Linked DNA regions of Drosophila melanogaster. The protein of the gene in region 1 interacts with the protein of each later gene in a pairwise test. Each region holds a gene or a part of one and is shown in the gene's direction. Other genes may lie near its edges. The genes, in order: Pfas, CG9961 and Spx.

Region 1 (9,729 bases):
GATTGTAGGATTAGCCATTGTGCAGTCTCACTGTTTCTTGCGTCCTCCATCTCTTGCAACTGGCGTTTTAGCTCGGCCAGGATGATGCGCTTATACTCGTAGCCGGCGCATGTTAGCGCCTTCATCCACGTCTCCATGCTGTCTTGGTTTTCGGCGGCGAGGATGTAGGTGCGATTGCCGTTGAAGGCGATCTCGAAGCAGTAGTTGTCCACCTCGTTAGACAGCTCAATGGTGCAGCCCTCGACAATGATGAGGCCCAAGGGCTCCTTGTCCAAGCGCGACTCGAAGTAGAAGAGCAGGTTGCCTTTCAGCACGAAGTAGCGTCGCTGGAAGGCCTTGTTGACCTCGCCCCGTTTGTTGAGGAAGCCTGCAAGGCGTATCGGTGTGTGATAAATGGATTATGATTATTAATAGACGAGCGAAAGGGCTCGCTTGCATACCTTCCATGTCGAAGGGCGGCGTTCTCGCGAACACGTACAGGTTCTTCTCGTTGATCTTCATGGCTGCACTGTCTCGGGCTGCATTCGAAGCAAATATGGGTGTCCTATTTCCGCCTTTCGTCTCTTATTATTGTGATGAACAGGTAAAAAAAATGCAAAGCGAGAAACAATTGACGCTGCGCGAACAGCTGATGGCCAGTGCTGCCACACCTCCACCGGTTATCGATTGCTGGGTGCGGAATTTCTAGTTTTCAATGTAGATTGCAAACATAAACGAATTTTGAATCCTGCGAAATGTCGTACTTACTCACGGAAATCGCGCTGGAGATGCTGGGCTACAAGTTCTACGACACCAATGGCACATTCCACCTGACCAATTTTCAAAACAACTCCACGCTCAGCGAAACGCATCCCGATGAGCCCTCCCTGCAGGAATTCATTGAGTACACAAATGAGGAGCTGAAGCAAGACGCGCAACAGCAGGAGCCGCACACGCTGGCGGTGCAGGAGGAGTCGTACCTGGATGCCCCCACCATACCCGAGTCACGCTATGCGCGGCGCACGCCGGCCAAGGCGCTGGCCAAGATAATGGACTACGAGAGCGAGAAGATAGTCAACCAGATCAGCACTCGTCTGGAGGGCTCGGTGTCACGTCGGGCGGCGGCGGACAGTGACGAGCAGCTGGCCGAGATCATCAACGAGGAGAGGAAACTAATCGAGGCGGATGCCGAGGTAATACACAACTTTCGGGAGCTCGTGGAGAGCCGACTACAGCGATTGGATAAACGGCCCTACGAGAAATACGTACGTACCTTCGGGCCGCAATAGGAAGCTGCACGTGCAATGTCAAAGTGCCGCCATTACTTTTAGAATTAATTTAGTTTATAAATTTAATAAATAAGTTACCGCTACAGGGTGCCTGCGGCACTTTCATTTTCTCTTACTGCGCCAGTGTGACCACCCTAGCCCATGCACTGGCCAGCGATAGCCCCATCTATCGGAGCCACTGTCATCTCTAGCAGCACAGCACGAGTAAAGGTCAGCTCTCGTAACTTGTCTCGGAAATATTCAATAATTCCGAGATTGCCGTCAAAATTCGAGTCGTGTACTTCAGCTAACGCTCCCCCTGTTTAATTCCGTTCCGTCTGCCCCCGCAGGCTCAGCTCAGCCCGCATCTCGGCTGCCAATTAAGGATATAAAGCCCTCCCCGGACGGTGACGACAACGGCGCTTGCATAATGAAAATCTGGACATCGGAGCACATATTCAACCACCCGTGGGAGACGGTCACGCAGGCGGCGTGGCGCAAGTACCCCAATCCGATGACGCCCTCCATCATTGGCACGGACGTGGTCGAGCGCCGTGTGGTGGACGGCGTCCTGCACACGCATCGCCTGGTGCAGTCCAAGTGGTACTTCCCCAAGTGGACGCACGCGCTGATCGGCACGGCCAAAACTTGTTTCGCCAGCGAACGCTCCACGGTGGACCCGGAGCGCAAACAGATGGTGCTGAAGACAAACAACCTCACCTTCTGCCGCAACATCAGCGTGGACGAGGTGCTCTACTATGAGCCGCATCCGTCGGATGCCAGCAAGACGCTGCTCAAGCAGGAGGCCACCGTGACCGTCTTTGGTGTGCCGCTGTCCCACTACATGGAGGACCTGCTCACCTCGACCATTAGCACAAATGCCGGCAAGGGACGCCAGGGCCTGGAGTGGGTGATCGGGCTGATCAACACGGAGGTCAAGGGCATCGCTCGCGGCACCGACGAACTTCTGCACAACACACGGCGCTCCATCGACGAGGTGACGGAGAGCGCGCGGAAGAGCATGGACGAGATCAGTGCGCAGGCCGCCAAGGCGGCGAAGGCGATGCACATTACGTAGGTGTCGACAAGGCGACAGTGCAAGGTCGCGCGGGGGCTGTTCACTAGTGAATTATTTAGATGGCGCGCGGTCGTCGTTTTAGTACAACTAATTAATCGATGGCACGATGGACATGGACAGCAACATGTGGGACAGCAACACCTTCCTCTATTCTCAAGCCATTCAATGCATATATTTTATAATTATTACTCCCCTTCGAACGAATCGACTGCTAATGAGTCATGTCGATAAAGAAGTGCCCCCGAATGGCTGAACTGGAAGGAACTCGCGCTAATGCTGGCCCCCATTCATGCAGATCAATATATATATAAACCTAAAGTACATAGTCAATGTAAGCTTTGTAAGCCGCCGCAGATTTCGAAGAACGAGAGGAGCAATTAAACGACATATTTGCCTACGACCAGCCAGTGTCAAGTTCAATTGTTTAATTTTAATTCGCAGCACACTTGTACTGCGTCTTTTTTTTTTGCATTTGCATGACGTTCGCATGTGCAACTGCAGCAATTTTAAGCATTCTGTGTATAAATAAAACCCAAGAAAGTCGATTTGTGGGTTTTTTCTCTACATACATACTTGATTAGCGATTTTTGGCGTCTGTTTTATTCGCTTATCATCAAAAGCCCACGTGCCTAGTGGCTCAACAACTGTGTACCTAGTTAGCATCGCAGACATGGAAACTGATATGTCCCTTATCTGGTTCAACAGTTGCGAAGAATGTGATTGAAGGGGAAAGTGGGTGCTTGGAAACAAGTTGATGATCAAACAGCAGGTGTTCTAGGGACAAGGTGAAATACTTTTACCTAACTTATCAAAAGAAGTAACTTATTTATTTAGCAGTTTTCGTAAGCTTTTAATCAAAATAAACAAGTAATCCTTACGAATTACAATTAAACTATTTGGTTCATTGAACCCGTGTAGCATTAACCCTTGCAAGTTACGCAATGGGTACAATTTACGAAAGCTTTTAAAGCTCAATTCGCCTAAGGGTTAATTTGAATTCCAGCGGCAGTCGCTGTGCAGCACTGGCCAACCGAACGCTGTGGTGGATTGAGCCGCGAAATGAGGGGAAACCGAGCTGGAGCCTCAAAACGATCGTAATTTGCAGCTAAGACGCACGTGTGCTCCGCTCAGTGTTAGTGTTATTGTGCTTCAATTTGGGGTATTTGGCGTTAATTATTTACCTAAATTCCGACCATTCAGCAACGCAGGTTTCCGTTCGTAATGGAAAATATGTTTACGCCGGCTTATCAGCAAACTCCCAGCCGGGGAAAAACAAAAACAAGTTGTGACGCCAGTGCAGCGATTGCTGCAGGCGATTCCATCGATTTCGCTCGGCTGTAACCTGATCCGCTGCTGTGGGTTGTGGGCTGTGTGGCTGTGGTATAGGTGCCGCCAGTTGATAACCCCCAGCGTGGGCACGGACCCACTGGTCGTCAACCGCTTCGCAACTCCCAAGATCATTCTCGATTCGACGAGCAAGGAGTGCACACTGTCTGTACTCAATCCGCATTTTTCGTTTCTTGCAGCCCCACGACATGGTCATCCTTCGCTACTACGATGTGCAGGCCCACTCCGCGGCCGAGGAGGAGAGTGTCCTGCGTCGGTTGCGCGAGGAAGACGGCGCCGTGGTGTCCGTGCGCATGGAGCGCTGCTATCATCTGGAGTACAGCGCTCAGGCAGAGCACTCACTGGCCCTGGACGAGCTGCTGGTGTGGCTGGTCAAGCAACCGCTGAGCAAAGGCCAGAGCTTGTCCAGGCAACCTGCCCTGCAGTCAACTGGGTCGAGTCAGTTGCTCCTGGAGATCGGGCCGCGTTTTAACTTCTCCACGCCGTACTCCACGAACTGCGTGAACATATTCCAGAATCTCGGGTACTCAGAGGTGCGTCGCATGGAAACCTCCACCCGCTATCTGGTTACTTTTGGCGAGGGATCAAAGGCGCCGGAGGCAGCCAGGTTTGTTCCTCTGCTCGGTGACCGCATGACCCAGTGCTTGTACACCGAGGAGAATACCCCCAAGGCGAGCTTTGACGAGCAGCTACCTGAGCGCCAGGCCAACTGGCATTTCGTGCCCGTTTTGGAGGAGGGTAGGGCGGCACTGGAGCGGATTAATCAGGAGCTGGGCTTAGCCTTCAACGACTACGATTTGGACTACTACCACGACTTGTTTGCCAAGGAGCTGGGCCGCAATCCCACCACTGTGGAGCTCTTCGATTGCGCCCAGAGCAACAGTGAGCACTCGCGCCACTGGTTTTTCCGCGGACGTATGGTGATCGACGGCGTGGAGCAGCCCAAGTCGCTGATTCGCATGATCATGGACACGCAGGCCCACACGAACCCGAACAACACCATTAAGTTCAGCGACAACAGCAGTGCCATGGTGGGATTCGATCACCAGACCATAGTTCCGTCCTCCGTGGTCGCTCCCGGCGCAGTGCGTCTGCAGAGCGTGCAGTCTGACCTGATTTTCACGGCGGAGACCCACAACATGCCCACTGCAGTGGCGCCTTTCAGCGGAGCCACCACCGGCACTGGCGGACGACTGCGTGATGTCCAGGGCGTGGGCAGAGGAGGCGTGCCGATCGCCGGCACCGCTGGCTACTGTGTTGGCGCTCTTCACATTCCAGGTGAGCATTGCTTTTTTTTTGAGTATTTAGTTCCTATTAGTTTTTATTATACATCACGACTTTCTTGTCGTCGCAGGTTACAAACAGCCGTACGAGCCTTTGGACTTTAAATACCCTGCGACGTTTGCGCCCCCACTTCAGGTGCTCATTGAGGCGAGCAATGGCGCCTCCGACTACGGAAATAAGTTCGGCGAGCCAGTGATCTCTGGTTTTGCCCTCTCCTATGGACTGAACAGTGCTGCCGATGCCAGCCAGCGGGATGAGTACGTGAAACCGATCATGTTCAGCGGTGGCTTGGGCACCATGCCCGCTACCATGCGCGAGAAGCTGCCGCCGGCACGCGGTCAGTTGCTGGCCAAGATCGGGGGCCCAGTGTACAGGATTGGAGTGGGTGGCGGCGCCGCAAGCTCTGTGGAGATACAAGGATCCGGAGATGCTGAGCTAGATTTTAATGCCGTACAGCGAGGAGACGCCGAAATGGAGAATAAATTGAACCGTGTGGTGCGAGCCTGTCTAGACCTGGGCGAGCAAAACCCCATATTAGCCATCCATGACCAGGGGGCTGGCGGCAACGGCAATGTCCTCAAGGAGCTAGTGGAACCAGGCTTTGCCGGAGCTGTTATCTTCTCCAAGGAGTTCCAACTCGGCGATCCCACGATCACTGCCCTCGAACTGTGGGGTGCCGAGTACCAGGAAAACAATGCCATTCTTTGCAACGCTGATCAACGCGAACTGCTGGAAAAGATCTGCCGCCGTGAACGCTGTCCCATCAGCTTCGTGGGAGTGGTGACCGGAGATGGGCGAGTAACGCTGCTGGAGAAGCCTGCCCCCAAGGATCTGGAACAGGCGTTGAATGCGTCCAATCGCAGCGAAGTCTCACCGTTCGACTTGGAACTTAAGTACGTTTTGGGCGACATGCCCAAGAGAACGTACGACTTGAAACGCGAACAGACGCCGCTCAAGGAGTTGAGTCTGCCGAAAGGTCTCCTTCTGGACGAGGCCTTGGAGAGAGTTCTTAGCTTGGTGGCAGTCGGTAGCAAGCGCTTCCTGACCAACAAGGTGGATCGCTGCGTCGGTGGATTGATTGCACAGCAACAGTGCGTGGGACCGCTCCAAGCTCCACTAGCGGACTACGCGTTAACCACCGTCTCCCACTTTAGTCACTCTGGAATCGCCACTTCAATTGGTACACAGCCACTAAAAGGACTGCTTGATCCCGCCGCAATGGCCAGGATGTGTGTGGCTGAAGCGTTGAGTAACCTTGTGTTTGTAAAGATCAGCGAACTGGCTGATGTCAAGTGCTCTGGCAACTGGATGTGGGCTGCAAAGCTGCCCGGCGAGGGTGCCCGGATGTTCGACGCCTGCAAGGAGCTCTGTCAGATTCTTGAGGAACTTCACATCGCCATCGATGGCGGAAAGGACTCCCTGTCCATGGCGGCTAAGGTGGGCGGTGAGACAATAAAGTCCCCGGGTACTCTTGTCATCTCCACCTATGCTCCCTGTCCGGATGTGCGGCTAAAGGTAACGCCTGATCTTAAAGGACCCGGCGCGGGGTCGAAGACTTCCCTGCTCTGGATAAATCTGGAGAACAGCGCTCGCCTAGGTGGATCGGCTCTGGCTCAGGCATACGCGCAGCAGGGCAAAGATACGCCAAACTTGACAAGGAGTGATGTGCTGGGCAAAGCATTTGCTGTGACTCAATCGTTGTTGGGAGATGGACTTATTCAAGCAGGACACGATGTCAGCGACGGAGGATTGCTTGTTTGCGTATTGGAGATGGCCATCGGAGGACTGAGTGGCCTTAGAGTGGATCTATCGGAGCCCTTGGCCAAGCTCAAGAACTTCGATAAGTCTGTCGAGAAACTTAATCGTCCCGAACTAGCTGTTCTCTTCGCCGAGGAGTGTGGATGGGTGGTGGAAGTCCTGGACACAGACCTGGAACGAGTTCGATCTACCTACGAAAAGGCAGGAGTACCAAACTACTATTTGGGCGTGACCGAGGGATTCGGACTGGATTCCAGAGTGGTACTCAAGAACGGCAAGTCAGAGCTGCTGGACCAGCCACTCCGTGTGCTCTACAAGAAATGGGAGAGAACCAGTTACGAGCTGGAAAAGCTTCAGGCCAACCCTGAGTGCGCCGAGGCAGAGTACAATAGCCTTGAGTATCGCCAAGCACCTCAGTATAGGGGACCTCAGAATGTGCAGGCCGAGCTTACTCTCAAGCGATCCTCCGCCCCAGTTCGCGTGGCCGTGCTCCGTGAGGAGGGTGTCAATAGTGAGCGCGAGATGATGGCCTGCCTGCTGAGGGCTAACTTCGAGGTGCACGATGTGACCATGTCGGATCTTCTTCAAGGTAAACTCAATGGTAAATTCTAATAAAGGGGGAAGTACTAAAGCAAATAATTTAATATTTCAGGCACCGCAAGCGTGTCCCAATACCGCGGACTAATTTTCCCGGGCGGCTTCAGCTATGCGGACACTTTGGGATCCGCCAAGGGCTGGGCAGCAAACATCCTCCACAATCCCCGCTTGTTGCCTCAGTTTGAGGCTTTCAAGCGTCGTCAAGATGTGTTCTCCTTGGGCATTTGCAATGGTTGCCAGCTGATGACACTTATAGGATTTGTTGGCAGTGCAAAGAGCGAGGTGGGCGCAGATCCCGACGTGGCCCTGCTCCATAACAAATCGCAGCGGTTCGAGTGTCGTTGGGCCACCGTGAAGATTCCAAGCAATCGCTCCATCATGCTCGGAAGTATGAAGGATCTGGTTCTTGGCTGTTGGGTGGCTCACGGCGAAGGTCGCTTTGCATTCCGCGACGAGAAGCTCATTAGCCACTTGCAGTCGGAACAGCTGGTGACATTGCAATATGTTGATGATGTAGGCAAACCGACGGAACTGTATCCACTTAACCCGAACGGTAGTCCTCAGGGAATTGCTGGCCTTTGCTCGTCGGATGGACGTCACTTGGCCCTCATGCCACATCCCGAGCGATGCTCCTCCATGTACCAGTGGCCCTATGTGCCATCTTCATTCGAAGTTTCCCCCACACAATCGGAAAGTCCTTGGCAGATTATGTTTAACAACGCGTACAATTGGTGTGTCAAGTCGAATCAATAGATATTCTAGATGAATTGAAAGCAGTTAAATAGGTTCTTGGCATTTATGACCTGATATATCTAAATACTATATACACGAATTTGTTTACTATTTTTATAAAATAAACTTAAACACTCAAACAACTTTAAAACTCAAATAAGCGTACTTATGAGTAATGTCGTCGCAACGAATAGAAATGAAAGCTAATGTGAAATTTGTAACAAGCATTTAAGGTAGTTGGCCTTGGCTGTTGATGACGCCATATACTTGGAGTTCCAGTCGTGCTCGTTGATCTGCATCACTTTGTAGCCCATCATCTCTAGATGTCGCATCTTCAAAGATTCAGGACCCCGCAATGCAGTCAGATCGTTTTCACAAAAAGAGTCGAGCTTGAGCAGTAGTATTGCCACTCTGAAATTGGAGTCATTAATGAAGTACCTGAATAAGGTAACTTCCATTTGTGTGCCTACTTGGTTATGCGATCCAACATGGTTGCCTCCACGGGAGGTGCTGGGATGGGATTTTTATCCCGATCGAAATGTATCACAAAGTCTATTTGGTAGCCGTAGGGTGTAGTGTGGTTGCAGCGGAAATGCTTGTCATTTTGAAGAAGCTGATGCAGCAGCTGCTTCACCTCTGTTGTGGACTCACTGGGTATTAAGGATTCTAAAAAGATAATATGATAAAGAACGCCTAATACAGAATTGTAGTTATATGTTACTTTTGCTGATCTGCGCCTCGATGTAGTTTTGTTGAAACCAGGGCACATTCGCCTCGGGAAAGTCCAGGCATACTGTGCGATTCAGTTGCATAACCAGGTTAAGGACCCTCTCCGGATACGTTGCTTTTGAGTAGCATACTTGTATCTCATCCTCGATTCGCTGAATGAATTTCACGCAGAATACTTGATTGATTAGCTGCTCTGGTATTGATTTGTAAAAGCACAGTGCTAGACAAGCCTGGACAACCGATAAACCGCTCATCTGGTCAAAATCTCTGATGGAAAGATTACATTTTAGATCTGCCTCAAGAAATGTTTATGCCCACCTTAGCAGTACTTCGGAGGCGTGGTTTAGAGCCTCCACGGACGCTGGCATGTAGCCCAAATTATACGAGCAGGTCAACACTTTCTCCACTGTGTCGCCGGAAACGTGATCATGCTGTTCGGAAATGTAGGCGAACATGGACTCCAGGAGCTCGGGAACAAAGAAATTCGAAGCGTTGAAGTTGTAGGCCATGTCCCGAACCACCCGAGAATTGAGATCGTTGCAGTGCAGATTTTTGTACTGCGCCAGGGCCTGGTTGTAAACCACCGTATTCTTTAGCTCTGTAAAGGGATAAAATTGTTTAAATTTGTTTATATTTCAAATGAACCAAAGTTATCAACTTACTCTTGCGATGACTGAGTGTTCTGACAATCATGCTCAATTCGCTGGCATTTAGAGGGTCCTTTTCGGCATCTCTCAAGTGCCTCTCCGCACAACCGATGAGAATGCTGTCCATTGTGGACAGTTGCATGCCAGCTAATGCCGGAAGATGCTGGCGAAACCTTAGTTCGCTGGCTATTTGCATGCCGCGACTGAGGAGAAAGCAATCCTGAATGCCAAGCTGGGGCGCCATTGCGAGCATTTTGCTTAACAAAAAGTTGGGAAATTTCTTCCAGGCCAACGGAGTCTGCCCGTAAGC
Region 2 (6,497 bases), 3.3 Mb from region 1:
TCATCATGGCATCATAAGCGGAATCCGTTTGCACAGTCAAAATAAAACAACGGCCACCGAGAAAGATTGTGTGATTTGACTTTGTTGGCCTCAACAGAAATCATTTATTCAATAATTACATATTGACATACAAACATCAAAGGGGCGGCTGTTACATACGGTATGGACATATGTATGTACGTCGTAGATTATTATTATTTATTAAATTTTTTTTTTATTATTTTTATAAATTAATTATAAATTTTTATAAAAAATCACTAATTCGGACTTTCAGTTAAAATTTAACAGACATTCAAGGGTGTGGAAGAAAAAAGTTCTAAGGGGTTAAAATTTATTATAAAAAATTTATTAAAAAAAATAATTTTTATATGTATTTAAGTGAAAATATTATATGAACGGTTTCTATTTAAGTTAATATAAAAAAAATTGTATACTGTAAATAGCAAATGATCAATTAAATGATCTAGTCAGAATATGCAGACATTTATTTTGTTAATTTTTAGCATATGATTATCTATGGACAATATTTAAATATTATGAAAATAATGATATTTTAAATAATAGATTTTTAAATTTTAGAATTGTGTGGCCCCTTTTCGACACCCTTGGAACGGATGCTTCACAGCACTGTGCTGACAGCACTTACCAACACTGCTTGGGCGCCAAATACAGAGTTGCATTTGGAGAGTACAACTTTTATCCAACTTTCGAACGAGAATACAATCCGATACCAACTTCGGACTCCAAAATAGGAGTATACCCAGCTGGATCCTGCGCATGGCACCTACCAATCGGCGGAAAACCGCTTGCCACGGATTGACGCCCTGGAAGTGGAGATGCAACCCTAGCAGCTCACCGACAAAATGACCTTGCGCTGACATTGCCGCACAGCAGTTGAGGACGAAGAAGATTCGCGGAATCAGTGGTATCGCAATCCGGAGTTTGCTAGCACGCACAGGAAGTATCCAGAAAATCCAGAAAAATCCAAAGATGGCCTTCAATAAGCTGAGCATCGAAAACCTGGACTTGGCGGGCAAGCGGGTGTTGATGCGGTAATCCAAAGCCAATCCTCGCGTGAAATTCAGTTGCATAAACATTGCCCGTGCTTCTTTGCAGCGTCGACTTCAATGTGCCCATCAAGGAGGGCAAGATCACCAGCAACCAGAGAATTGTCGCTGCCTTGGATAGTATCAAGTTGGCCCTTTCCAAGAAAGCCAAGTCGGTGGTGCTGATGTCCCACTTGGGTCGTCCCGATGGCAACAAGAACATCAAGTACACCCTGGCACCCGTGGCCGCTGAGCTGAAGACCCTGCTTGGCCAGGATGTGATCTTCCTAAGTGACTGCGTCGGCAGCGAAGTGGAGGCCGCTTGCAAGGATCCCGCACCGGGATCCGTCATTCTGCTGGAGAACGTCCGCTTCTACGTGGAGGAGGAGGGCAAGGGCTTGGATGCCAGCGGCGGCAAGGTCAAGGCCGATCCTGCCAAGGTCAAGGAGTTCCGTGCCAGCCTGGCCAAGCTGGGCGATGTCTATGTCAACGACGCCTTCGGCACTGCCCATCGCGCCCACAGTTCCATGATGGGCGATGGCTTCGAGCAGCGCGCAGCTGGTCTGTTGCTGAACAAGGAGCTGAAGTACTTCTCGCAGGCCCTGGACAAGCCACCAAATCCCTTCCTGGCAATTCTCGGTGGCGCCAAGGTGGCCGACAAGATCCAGCTGATTGAGAACCTTCTGGACAAGGTCAACGAGATGATCATCGGTGGCGGCATGGCCTTCACCTTCCTGAAGGTCCTCAACAACATGAAGATCGGCGGTTCCCTGTTCGACGAGGAGGGCTCCAAGATCGTCGAGAAACTGGTGGAGAAGGCCAAGAAGAATAACGTGCAGTTGCATCTGCCAGTGGACTTTGTCTGCGGCGACAAGTTCGCCGAGAACGCTGCCGTCAGCGAGGCCACCGTGGAGGCCGGAATTCCCGATGGACACATGGGTCTGGATGTGGGTCCCAAGACCCGTGAGCTCTTCGCGGCACCCATCGCACGCGCCAAGCTCATCGTGTGGAACGGGTAGGTGTCACACTGAAGCTACTTCTCCAAATGTCCTATAATGGTTTTCCCATTTTAGACCCCCCGGTGTCTTTGAGTTCCCCAACTTCGCCAACGGCACCAAGTCCATCATGGACGGCGTGGTGGCCGCCACCAAGAACGGCACCGTCTCCATCATCGGCGGCGGCGACACTGCCTCTTGCTGCGCCAAGTGGAACACGGAGGCACTCGTCTCGCACGTCTCCACCGGAGGCGGCGCTTCGCTGGAGCTCCTGGAGGGCAAGACACTGCCAGGCGTGGCTGCATTGACCAGCGCCTAAGCGTACATATATACGGTATATTAATGTTAATCGCATCGTTTACCTTGTAAGCACAAACCACGACGTTAAAAAGTGTTGAATCTATTTGTTGCGGAACCATATAATGCATACGAAATAAAGGAATCCTAGTTTATTTGCGGGCAAAGTTGCTGTCCATTGAGGAGGCGGTGCGCTGTATGTTGTTGAGATTGGCCCGGATGCGATCGCCAATTGAGTTATGGTTGGCAATGGCCTTCTTCACCTCCTTGTTAATGAACTCCTTGTCGAAGTCTCGTTCACGATTTTGGGCCTCCTCGCGCGCGTATGCTTCTCGGTGCTTGCGAACCACCTGGCTGCGATCCGCTTCTCTCCAAGTGGCGTTGTCCATCATTTCGCGCAGGCGAGCTTCTCGGTCGGCTTCGCTTAACTTTGGCTTGCCGGTGGGACGGCTGGGAGGCGGTCTTTCGGCAATCCTTCGCTTGTCATCTCCTTTGGAACTTCGGCTCCTGCTGCGTTTTGATCTGGAACGCTCTTCAGGTGTCCTACTCCTGCGTTTCTCGCGCTGCTTTGAAGTGTCCTTGCTTTGACGTCTGGCTTTTCTGTCCTCTGGGCTCCTGGTTCTTCTCTGTCTTCTCGCTAAGGGACTTCTGCTCCTGCTCCTGCGCCTTTCCCTTCTCTCTTCTGGACTCCTTTGCCTTTGCCTTTGTTCCGGACTTCTACTCTGTCGCTTTTTTCTATCCCGGGGGCTTCTACTCCTGCGTCTTTCTCGCTGATTTCTGTCCTCTGAGCTGTGGCTCCTTTTGTGCTTTCTCCTTGGCTCTTCCTCTTCGTCACTACTTTCGTCACTGCTATCGCTGCTTTTCTTCTTCTTGGATTTCTTGCTCTTTTTCTTCTTGGTGGCCATGTCTAATTGATTTGAAATGGTGCGGTACTTGGCGTCCAGCAGCTTGTCCAGTTTAAGGTCACCTTGGTCTCCCTTGAGTTTGCTCACTTGGCGGGCTAATTTTCTGTCCAAGTCATCGTCGCTATCATTGCTCTCGCTGTCACTACTTTCCTCATTGCTGGATCGTCGGTTCTTCTTCTTCTTTTTGGATTTCTTAGACTTTTTGTTCTTCTTGTTCTTCTTCTTTCCCTCTGCGGCCTTTTGTTCCTGTTCAGTCTTGAGAATGCGATGGATTTCCTTCAGCTTGACGGGGTTCTCAAGCAGCTTTCGACGGGATTCCATTTCGCGCTGCTTGATGAGCATCAGGGGATCCTCGAGGGTCTTGCGCTGTATGTCCACCTGTTCGTTGGACTGCACATTGCGGTAGGTCCGGATGGAGAAGGGCACACAGTCGTGCTCCACATGGTTGATCGTTTGCTTGAGACCCACTGTGTTCTGCTCCTGGCGGCTTTCCTCCGCTTGCAGCGTCTCAAAGGACTTGTCGATCTTACGGCCCAGGAGGTACTCCTCGCGGTTGATCAGCTCTGTGCTGTCTGGAGCAAGATAAATATGTATGGATAATGAGTTTTATAAGAGTTTCACATGTATGACTCACTTTTGTACATCCACTCCAGCTTGGCCTCGCCGGCGGCTCCGCCATTATTGCTCAGCACTCCGGAACTTTCGCCCAATCGCCTTAGTTCCTCTCTGTCCCGCTCCTCGTTGATCTCCTTGCGCAGATCCTGCAGCTTGCGCTCCTCCATCTTCGCTTGCTCCTCCGCCTTCCAAACGCGCTCCTGGTTTTTCATCGTGTGCGGATGCCATGATTTCTTCAGATTCTGCGGGAAAAATCAATGGTAATTGACGGATAATCAGTTGGGAGACATTACTTACTAGATCTCCGCCACCCATCTTGGGTTTGATTTGCGTTTTAACAGCAAAACAAACAAATTACAAACAATTCCAGATTTTCCCTCCTTTTCTGTTGTTTTCAACAAAATCATATGTTCGCCCGGGCTGCCAGATCGTGGTGAAGTAATTTAACTTGGTGTTGCCATAGGGTTACATTTTTCTTTTACTTTTTCGAAAATTATTGAAAATAGTTAATTTAGTTACTTATTTTCATAATTACTTCCTCATCGTGCATTGTATTTTCAGTCAAAAACAGGTAATAAATTTATTTAATATGCTTCCAATTCGGCAGAGTTTATACCAAAGAGCTCAAACTCGATTTACAAAATTAAGATTTCCAAGATTTTTTAGCAAAGACGATTGCAATGGAAAGCAAGTAAAGAAGTTGAGCTTAAAAAATGTAGATGTGGCTGGGAAAAGGGTTTTTATGAGGTGAGTATCCTTGCCAGATATGTTTTAGTGTGTGATTTATAAATTTATTTTTAGAGTGGACTTTAATGTACCCATGAAAGATGGCAAAATAACCAACAACCAACGAATTGTTTCCGCACTTCCCAGTATTAAATATGCCTTGGACAAGAAATGTAAGTCCTTGGTGAGTTGATATATCTTCCTTCAATTCCTAAAAAGTATAGAACGAATAACTTAATTTTTTGCCTAGGTTTTGGCATCCCACTTGGGGCGTCCGGATGGCAAAAAGAACAAAAAGTTTAGCCTGGAACCCGTGGCCAAGGAGCTGGAGAGTGTGCTGGGCCAGCCGGTTCAATTCCTGGACGACTGCGTGGGTGATAGCACCCTGAGAGCTTTGAAGGATCCCTCCGACGGCACTGTGTTCCTGTTGGAGAATCTTCGTTTCTATGCCGAGGAGACGGGCAGCAGCAAGGACGATAACAAGAAGAAGGTCAAAGCAGATCCCGCGAAGGTGAAGGAATTCCGAGCCAAGTTGGCGCAGCTGGGCGAGATCTATGTGAACGATGCCTTTGGAACAGCACATCGTCCGCATAGTTCCATGATGGGCGATGGCTACAAGGTGCGAGCGGCTGGTTTCCTGCTGGACAAGGAACTGGAGTACTTTGCCAAGGTTCTCCACGATCCGGCCAAGCCCTTTTTGGCCATTCTGGGTGGCGCCAAGATAGCCGATAAAATTCCACTGATAACGAACCTCCTGAACAATGTAACGGCCATGATCATATCCGGTGGCATGGCCTTCACCTTTCTCAAAGTGCTCAATGGCATGGAGATTGGAAAGTCCCTCTTCGACGAGAAGGGATCCGAGTTGGTCAACGACATAGTCTGCAAGGCGAAGGAGAAGGACGTGAATATACTATTTCCGATTGACTTTGTCATAGCCAATAAGATCGACAAGGAGCCGGATAAAGTGGAACATGTGGATGCCACACAGGGCATACCGGAGGACATGATGGGTCTGGACCACGGCCAGGCATCCAGTCAGATGTTTGCTGGCGCTATTTGTGCATCCAAAACCATCGTCTGGAACGGACCGCCAGGCTTGTTCGAAAACGAGCTATTCTCCAAAGGCACCGAGTCCATGCTGGAGGCAGTAATCGGGGCCACTAACCGAGGAGCCACCACAATCGTTGGTGGTGGGGATACGGCCACCGCTTGCTTGAAGTTCGGAGGCGCCGACAAGGTCTCGCATGTGTCCACCGGTGGAGGAGCTTCCCTGGAGTTGCTGGAGGGTAAGGTTCTGCCTGGAGTGGCTGCTCTTTCGGATGCCTAAACGCACTGCTTTACAATGGTTATTCCACTTATATGTACATGTATCTTAAATTCAATTTGGACAATTTAAACAATCAGTCTCTCAAAATACAAAGTTATTTTTATTGTGGAATAACATTAGTCGGTTAAAACGTGATAAAAGGGCGGGCCTCGATCTCGTGCAGCACTACTTTCCAACTATCTTTTTACCTCCATAGATTTGGTCTAAACTTAAAATTTATCATGTTCCTCTTTCTCGCAACAAAAACTTTTGAAATAGTAACTAATAACCGCGTTCAACTAAACAAAACATACATTTTTTCGCTTAACAGCCGCACGAGAACTTTCTGACCCAGCCCTGAAGGGTAATACAAATGGAATAACATCTCTTGGATTAATCAAAGCTAATCAGTTCCGCCGTAGCCGGCTCCTCAGCTTTAACGGGCGCGGGTCCCGGTTCGTTTTGCGGCGGAGCAGGTGCAGCAGCCACCGCTTGGACTTGATTGTTGGCGATTTCGGTAACTGGAGGTGCCTGTGCTGCTGGAGGAGCCTGGTGCTGCTGCAGCATTACGTGACCCATTTGGGGTTGTGGCTGAGGTTGCTGG
Region 3 (6,661 bases), on another chromosome or scaffold:
GATGCTTGTGCCGATGCGTACGGAACTTGGGGTTCTGCGATGCCATCGGATCGAACTGGGTCATGTTCACCATTCCGTCATCCGGCAGCACCGTCTCGATCCAGATGCGACATATGTTGTCCAGACAGGACGTGACCAGCATATTGGCAACCGAACCCTTGGGCATATACTTGCTCGTCTTGCGCCACACAATATTGGACACGGCTCGCGGATGGGCGATGTACACGTAGGTGAAGTTTAGCTCACCGCCAGAACTTGAGGTGGTACCATCGTCCACTCCGTGGCGACATGATGGCGTGGGTCCGGCATTGGAGGAACCCTTGGCCGGGAATAGAACCTGTTTGTTCTCATACCAGATCTTTACCAGCCGATCGTTGCGTCCGCAGGTGGCAAAGAGCGTTCCATCCGGACTAAATGCCATGTGGTAAATGGGTATGGCCGTTTGGCAACTCCAAATGTTCTCCCACGTGGACACATCCTCCGATTGGGCGTTGCTCGTCTGCTTGGGCTCCTTGCTCTCGCCAATCTCGAACTTGACACCTATTTGAAAAGGTGATACTGATTAGTATCAAGTCATTGACAAAGGAATATCGTCAATGAAAACTTTTTCATTCACAGTGCTCTAATATCAAATAAATAATTATAAATGGAACCAGAAATGGAAACCAGACTAAACAAGAAACCGAGCATATCGCTCTTAATTACAAAGCCAAACAAACGTATGGAGTTATTAGACAAAATACAGTACGAAAGATGAGAACTACAACCTTGCAATTGTTTATAATAGCTCCATAAAATAGGAAAATGGAAAACGGAAACACCCCACTGACGACATCACAAAACGTAAAAAACAAAAACCCATTGCAAGTAATTTGCATTTGTGATTCATCTCCGCCCACGCAAATCGATAGGTGGCCACACAGAGACACATAGAAATGGGGTGTTGGGCAGCTATTGGCTTACCCGTGTGCTCCTCCTCCTGCTGGTGAGTGGGCGACTTGCTCTTCCACAGCTGGATGTTGGTGCCGCCAGTGAGGAGGCGGGTGCCCTCCAGATTCCAGGACAGGGTCACCACGTTCGAGTGGCTGGTGAAGGAGCCCGTTTGCACCCATCTATGGGGGTATGAAAAAATAAGTTAGTATGTCTTTGGGCTTCTTAATACCATCGCTAGCTTACCTGTAATCCAGAAAGTGGGTATTGTGTTTGCTCGACTCAATCACCGGCGTGGGCTCAAAAATGCATATCTTATTCTCATAGGCTGCTGCTATTTTTCCGGTATCGGTGCTGCAGTCCAGGGCGGATATCTTGACATAGCCATGGTTGGCGCCCGGAATGATCTGGACGCGCTCGAAAGTGCTTGCCAGGATGACCACATTGCAGCCGGCGGCGTAGGCCTGATAATAGGAGGGGCGAAATGGGGATTTTGTGAGTACTGCAGTTAATCTAAGCGTTATACGATCGGTATGTGTTTTCTCAGTTATTTGTTTTTGAGTGGCTATGTGTATATAGGGCGGGTGGGTATATAGCTTTATATCGATAACAATACCCCAACTGTCCAGTTAACTGGCTTATCAGGCTGGCTGATGACAAGGCTCTTGCCACATCATGTTTGGTTACCTGGTTAGCTAAAGTGTGTTTGATTTATTTGTTGAGCTGTCGCTGATATGCTCATTATCGTGGCCAGAAATTTGAATACCCTGTTCGAGTGGGCTAGGGAGGGGGTACACTATTTATAGTGGAAACACTATTCATGTTAATTATCTCTAAAACATTACCGCATGACGATCTGTGGCAAAGGATCATTAGTGCGGGTGTAAAGGGTTGAGTCAGCAGGCTTTATCTTTATAATTGGCTCATTGATGCGGGAGATTACAGATACCCCGTTTAGTTACAATAGCGATAAATGGGGAATATCAACAGAGAATCTGTTTGCAATGGCTTATCGCGATATTGGAATGTGAGCCTTATTTAGCTAGTTAATGAATAAAAACATCATTTCATAAAAACAAGGGTATTAACAACTTCGTCACTACACACTACACACCTGCTAACTTTTTGACATAAAAAGGTTCAACTACTCTGCTTTTCTGTCGTGTTTATATTTAGCTTTTTGCTTTCCGGTTTTCCCATTGCTTTAAATGTCAGCTTATGATGGGTTTATGCGTTTAACTGAGAATATTACCCATTAAGTAAACACACCGATGATACTTTTCAATGGAGGGTTTTCCGAACTTTTCGCTTACCAACCCATTAGTGTTCCCGCGGATAAGATTACTTTATATAAAACTTTGTTACCTGCTGAAAATAAACAGTGATTTTTTTACGGTATCCTATTGTAGTATTGCTATACTATTAAAATTTGACTTTAAATGCGGTTTTAATGAGTTTATTATTTTTGGTTTCCCCTTCCAAACGCTAGGTGGCGCCAGGGGAGTGTGTTCGTGCCGATCATATACTAAATAAATATATGCATACACACATACATCCACACATATGCAAACACTCGAAATTAAACAAATTGAAATGATGGCAAATGATATGGCGCAAGGCGGTGGGCAGTGGGTGGGTGTTGGGTGGTTGGTGGTCGGTCTGTGAACGGGGGACTGTGTCAACGGCGGTGCTGATTACAGAATAGAATATAGTAGAATATAGAATATATATATAATGTACACATACGCCCCGTGGGGCCTCTCATTAGAATGGCAAAATGTGCACAGTAGTTAATTATGCTTCCTTGGGTTTTTGCAGGAAAACACAGACCTTGTTCTCTACATCGGATAAACATTCTGAGTAAACATATAGTACACATGTCTCAATGGGTGTAATGTTTATAAACTCGAAGTTGACATAGCGAAGTTTATAGTGAGCTCTTCAACTTTTTCCTGTTACCGTTAAAGGTTTTAGACACGAAAATGGCCAGATTGCTAAGAGTATTTGGTAGTATATAGTATAGGGATCGAATAAGGCACATTATAAATGCGTGCTCACGTTTTTTTATTATGGCCGTTTATAATTCCAATTTGCCATTGACGTGGGTTGGCGAAAGGGGTTGCGGGGCGGGGGGTGCTGCCATAGAGAAAGGGTTCGTGGGAAGGGGAAGGTGGGCAGCCTGCAAGCTGCGAAATTAGGGCATCAAAGGCCACCTGACCAATCGAAGGGTATACACACACACATACTCGCACTTATATATATATACATGCGTATATACTTTCAAGCACACACTCTCACTGCAACTGGCGCATGTGTGTGTGTGTGTGTGCGTGCGGCTTGTTTACTGCCAGCACTTGACCTTAAAAAAATAAAAATGTAATTAATTGCTGGCCAGGTATGTAAATGCAGGTGAAAACAAACATTGTGTTGTATTTGTTGTGCCACACAACATACACACACACACACTCGAGCTGCACACTTTGTTGTTATCGAATTTTTGCACAGCGCCAGCCAGCAAACACGAAAAGTTCTCTATCTCATCATTTGCATTTGATTTTTTAATTGACCACCAAGTGTGGCAAAAAAAAACGATATAAAATTCAACACACATTCACACACACCGCACACACGCACACCACACACACGCAAATATGTAAATAAAAACATTAAAGACGTGCTCCGATCGGTTCTTGTTGGAATGACGACGATGGTGATGATGATGCCCCGTTTCCAATTGGAAACGGTTCAACCTTTTGAACCAAGTGTGCGTGGGGGGGTTGGGGGGCGTGTCCGGCTGGTTGGGCCGATAATGGTGCACATTCCGCCACCGATTTTCACCCAATTCGATCCGGATTCGGATTGGGATGGCTCTGTGCTTACTGTAAATGGTATTCCTTCCACGGAGCCAATGGCGAAGCACCGGTCGCCTGCATTGCAAGCGCCGCTCAAAATCTGATGACAATTCATAATTTACACACAGTTGATTATCACATCACAGCGCACGGATATTGGGGTCTTGGTTCTTTGGTTTCTAGCACGAATTTTCCTTGCTTCTTGTAACAAACGACAACAAAGTGACATTACATAAAAATTAGAGTTGGGTTCTTGGCCAGCGCGGCCAATCGAACTATCGATATTAGGGATGGCACGGCATGGGAGGCGAAATATCGCCTGAGTAATTTAAATACGGTTACTCCAATTAACCGAAAAACTGTTTATCATTTAATTAAAATATTATTATTAAAATATTTCATTTTATTTTCAAAAAATAGAGGTGAATATTTTAACCTATTGAAATTATATTTAATTATTCTGCTTCGTCTATATTTAGTATTTTTTCTAATATCCGTTCGATTTGATTCGATTTCGATATCAATTTCGATTGCCAATAAAAACGAAATCGTGGAATATATATCGATTCATGGTATCGATAGGCTGTTTCGATATTCAGGGTTGTGTTGCGAGCATTTTTGCATGTTGAAAACGCCGAAAATTAGTTTTTGGTTTTGTTTATAAAAATAGCTCCGAAATGGCGGCAGGTCCAATTGCTGAACGCAACCAAGGTGGGTTTGACCTCCACTCCACATTTGCACCACTTGGGAGACGCTTTAACCCGCCTTTTCCGTTCCTTCCACAGATGCCACCATCTATGCCGGCGGTCTTGACGACAAGGTGTCGGAAACGCTGCTTTGGGAGCTGTTTGTCCAGGCAGGACCAGTGGGTAAGTCCCGGACACACATGTATAGTGCCTAGCAGCTCCCTAATCGTCATGCTTGCAGTGAACGTACACATGCCCAAGGATCGTGTCACCCAAATGCACCAGGGCTATGGATTCGTCGAGTTCCTCAGCGAGGAAGACGCCGACTATGGAATAAAGATCATGAACATGATCAAGCTTTACGGCAAGCCCATTCGCGTGAACAAGGCGTCGGCGCATCAGAAGAACCTGGACGTCGGCGCCAACATCTTCATTGGCAACCTAGACGTGGAAGTGGACGAGAAGCTGCTGTACGATACGTTCTCCGCCTTCGGCGTTATACTGCAGACGCCGAAGATCATGCGAGACCCAGAGACGGGCAAGTCTAAGAGCTTTGCGTTCATCAACTTTGCCAGCTTCGAGGCCAGCGATGCGGCCATGGACGCCATGAACGGCCAGTACCTGTGCAACCGTCCCATTTCCGTGTCCTATGCCTTCAAGAAGGATCACAAGGGCGAGCGTCACGGTTCGGCTGCGGAGCGCCTGTTGGCCGCCCAGAATCCATCGACCCATGCAGACCGGCCGCATCAATTGTTCGCCGATGCACCGGTGCAAACCATGATGCCCCAGATGCCGGGCCAGATCCCGGCCCAGATGCCGGGCCAGATGATGCCGCCACCCATGATGGCGCCGCCGCCGCCGGTGGTGCCCGTTTCGAATAACAATATGGGCATGCTAGCACCGCCGCCGCCCGTTCCCCAGCCTGCACCGTTCCCAGCTACGATACCGCCGCCTCCGTTGCCACCGATGACCGGCGGACAGCCGCCGCTGCCGCCAGCAATGGGCATTCCGCCGCCGCCTCGCATGATGCAACCAAATGCATGGGCACCGCCCGGCATGCCTGCTCCTCCGCCCAGACCACCGCCCACCAACTGGCGTCCGCCGCCCGTGCCCTTCCCACCCACGCCCTACGCACGGCCCTATCAACCCGACGGCTACCAGTACTAAGTCTAGCGTGTAGTGTATACCAATTTGGACGAGACGAGAAATAAACATCAATAGGATTCATCAATGAAGCCTGCTCTGGGATATGTTAAGATTTCCATTCTTCTTTCTAATATGCATTTAACAACCGGGAAACCACTGGGAGACATTTAGATCATCATTGTATTTCCATTTAGTAGTCGCAATACAATCTTCGAATTCTTACAAGACGAAATTAAATAACTTTGAATAGAATTTTGAAATGAACGAAATGATTTGATATAAATTGACTCTCGATTCTTGATTTTTTTTTAAACGGAACTATTTTCAATAAACATAAAACGTTTACATTAACAAGTCTGTAAGTTTAATTTGAATGGAACATACGAAGAAAGCGATAATTTTTTTTTGTAATTTAACTAAGTATTTTTAAAGGGCTCCCTCTAATTTAATGTCCAATCCTTTGAAGTTATGTATAGAAACTAGCTTGTAGTTCAAAATAAACTGAGGAATGATTTTCCATTTATTGAAATGAAACTAGGATTCTTTTTTAGCATTCCCAAAATGATGCCGTCCCGCTTTTTTTCGAAACACGTTTGTTTTTTGGTCTTGTAATTTGTTTAGCATAAATTTATTAATATGGGAAACATACAAGTACAGTATTTACAATAGTTTTGACTACTATTCATTTTTTACTCTTCGTCTATTGAATTCTTGCCTAAGCGATTTTGGTTTAGTCCCACTGTGCTAACTTCCATTTCGTTTGGTAAAATAACTTAACTTTAGCTTTACGTTTAAATGGTTATATTTAACGTTATTTTCTCCTTCGTCTCTTTGCTTTTGCTTTTGTTTTTTTTTTTTTTGGTTAAGCAAGACAAACAACAACAAAAAAAAAACTGTGAGGCATATAGTAATAGTAATAGTAATAGTAATAGTTTTAATCAATAACGATGTACAAGCGAATCGTTACGCATCAATTTTCTCGCATTTATTTAAATTTCTTTTGGTTTTCGATTTGTTTCTTTCTTTTTTGTTTACCTTAAAAAAGAT

Evidence for each region.
Region 2: the proteins of Pfas (region 1) and CG9961 interact in a two-hybrid assay, tested with the Drosophila melanogaster proteins (one large-scale study listed by BioGRID).
Region 3: the proteins of Pfas (region 1) and Spx interact in a two-hybrid assay, tested with the Drosophila melanogaster proteins (one large-scale study listed by BioGRID).

The regions. Positions count from the first base shown.
Region 1 is NT_033779.5:6,039,649-6,049,377, reverse strand, and holds Pfas (phosphoribosylformylglycinamidine synthase), read left to right. Parts: upstream 1-3,327; 5' UTR 3,328-3,457; exon of another isoform or gene 3,458-3,484; intron 3,485-3,664; exon of another isoform or gene 3,665-3,751; intron 3,752-3,781; exon of another isoform or gene 3,782-3,851; 5' UTR 3,852-3,860; coding exon 3,861-4,950; intron 4,951-5,026; coding exon 5,027-7,303; intron 7,304-7,366; coding exon 7,367-8,064; 3' UTR 8,065-8,197; downstream 8,198-9,729. Other genes in the region: IPIP (inositol phosphatase interacting protein), read right to left, coding at 32-367, 441-501; CG34179 (uncharacterized protein), read left to right, coding at 735-1,244, 1,598-1,639; slmo (slowmo), read left to right, coding at 1,678-2,325; CG31643 (uncharacterized protein), read right to left, coding at 8,247-8,454, 8,514-8,709, 8,765-9,039, 9,091-9,370, 9,435-9,729. UniProt on the Drosophila melanogaster protein: Phosphoribosylformylglycinamidine synthase involved in the purines biosynthetic pathway. Catalyzes the ATP-dependent conversion of formylglycinamide ribonucleotide (FGAR) and glutamine to yield formylglycinamidine ribonucleotide (FGAM) and glutamate.
Region 2 is NT_033779.5:2,742,875-2,749,371, reverse strand, and holds CG9961 (uncharacterized protein), read left to right. Parts: upstream 1-4,437; 5' UTR 4,438-4,447; coding exon 4,448-4,605; intron 4,606-4,659; coding exon 4,660-4,768; intron 4,769-4,834; coding exon 4,835-5,914; 3' UTR 5,915-5,997; downstream 5,998-6,497. Other genes in the region: Pgk (phosphoglycerate kinase), read left to right, coding at 991-1,052, 1,117-2,061, 2,120-2,360; Cwc25, read right to left, coding at 2,491-3,815, 3,878-4,100, 4,156-4,173; Hrs (hepatocyte growth factor regulated tyrosine kinase substrate), read right to left, coding at 6,287-6,497.
Region 3 is NC_004354.4:6,251,452-6,258,112, forward strand, and holds Spx (spliceosomal protein on the X), read left to right. Parts: upstream 1-4,370; 5' UTR 4,371-4,459; coding exon 4,460-4,493; intron 4,494-4,567; coding exon 4,568-4,651; intron 4,652-4,709; coding exon 4,710-5,635; 3' UTR 5,636-6,145; downstream 6,146-6,661. Other genes in the region: Rbcn-3A (Rabconnectin-3A), read right to left, coding at 1-540, 964-1,112, 1,177-1,394, 3,811-3,897.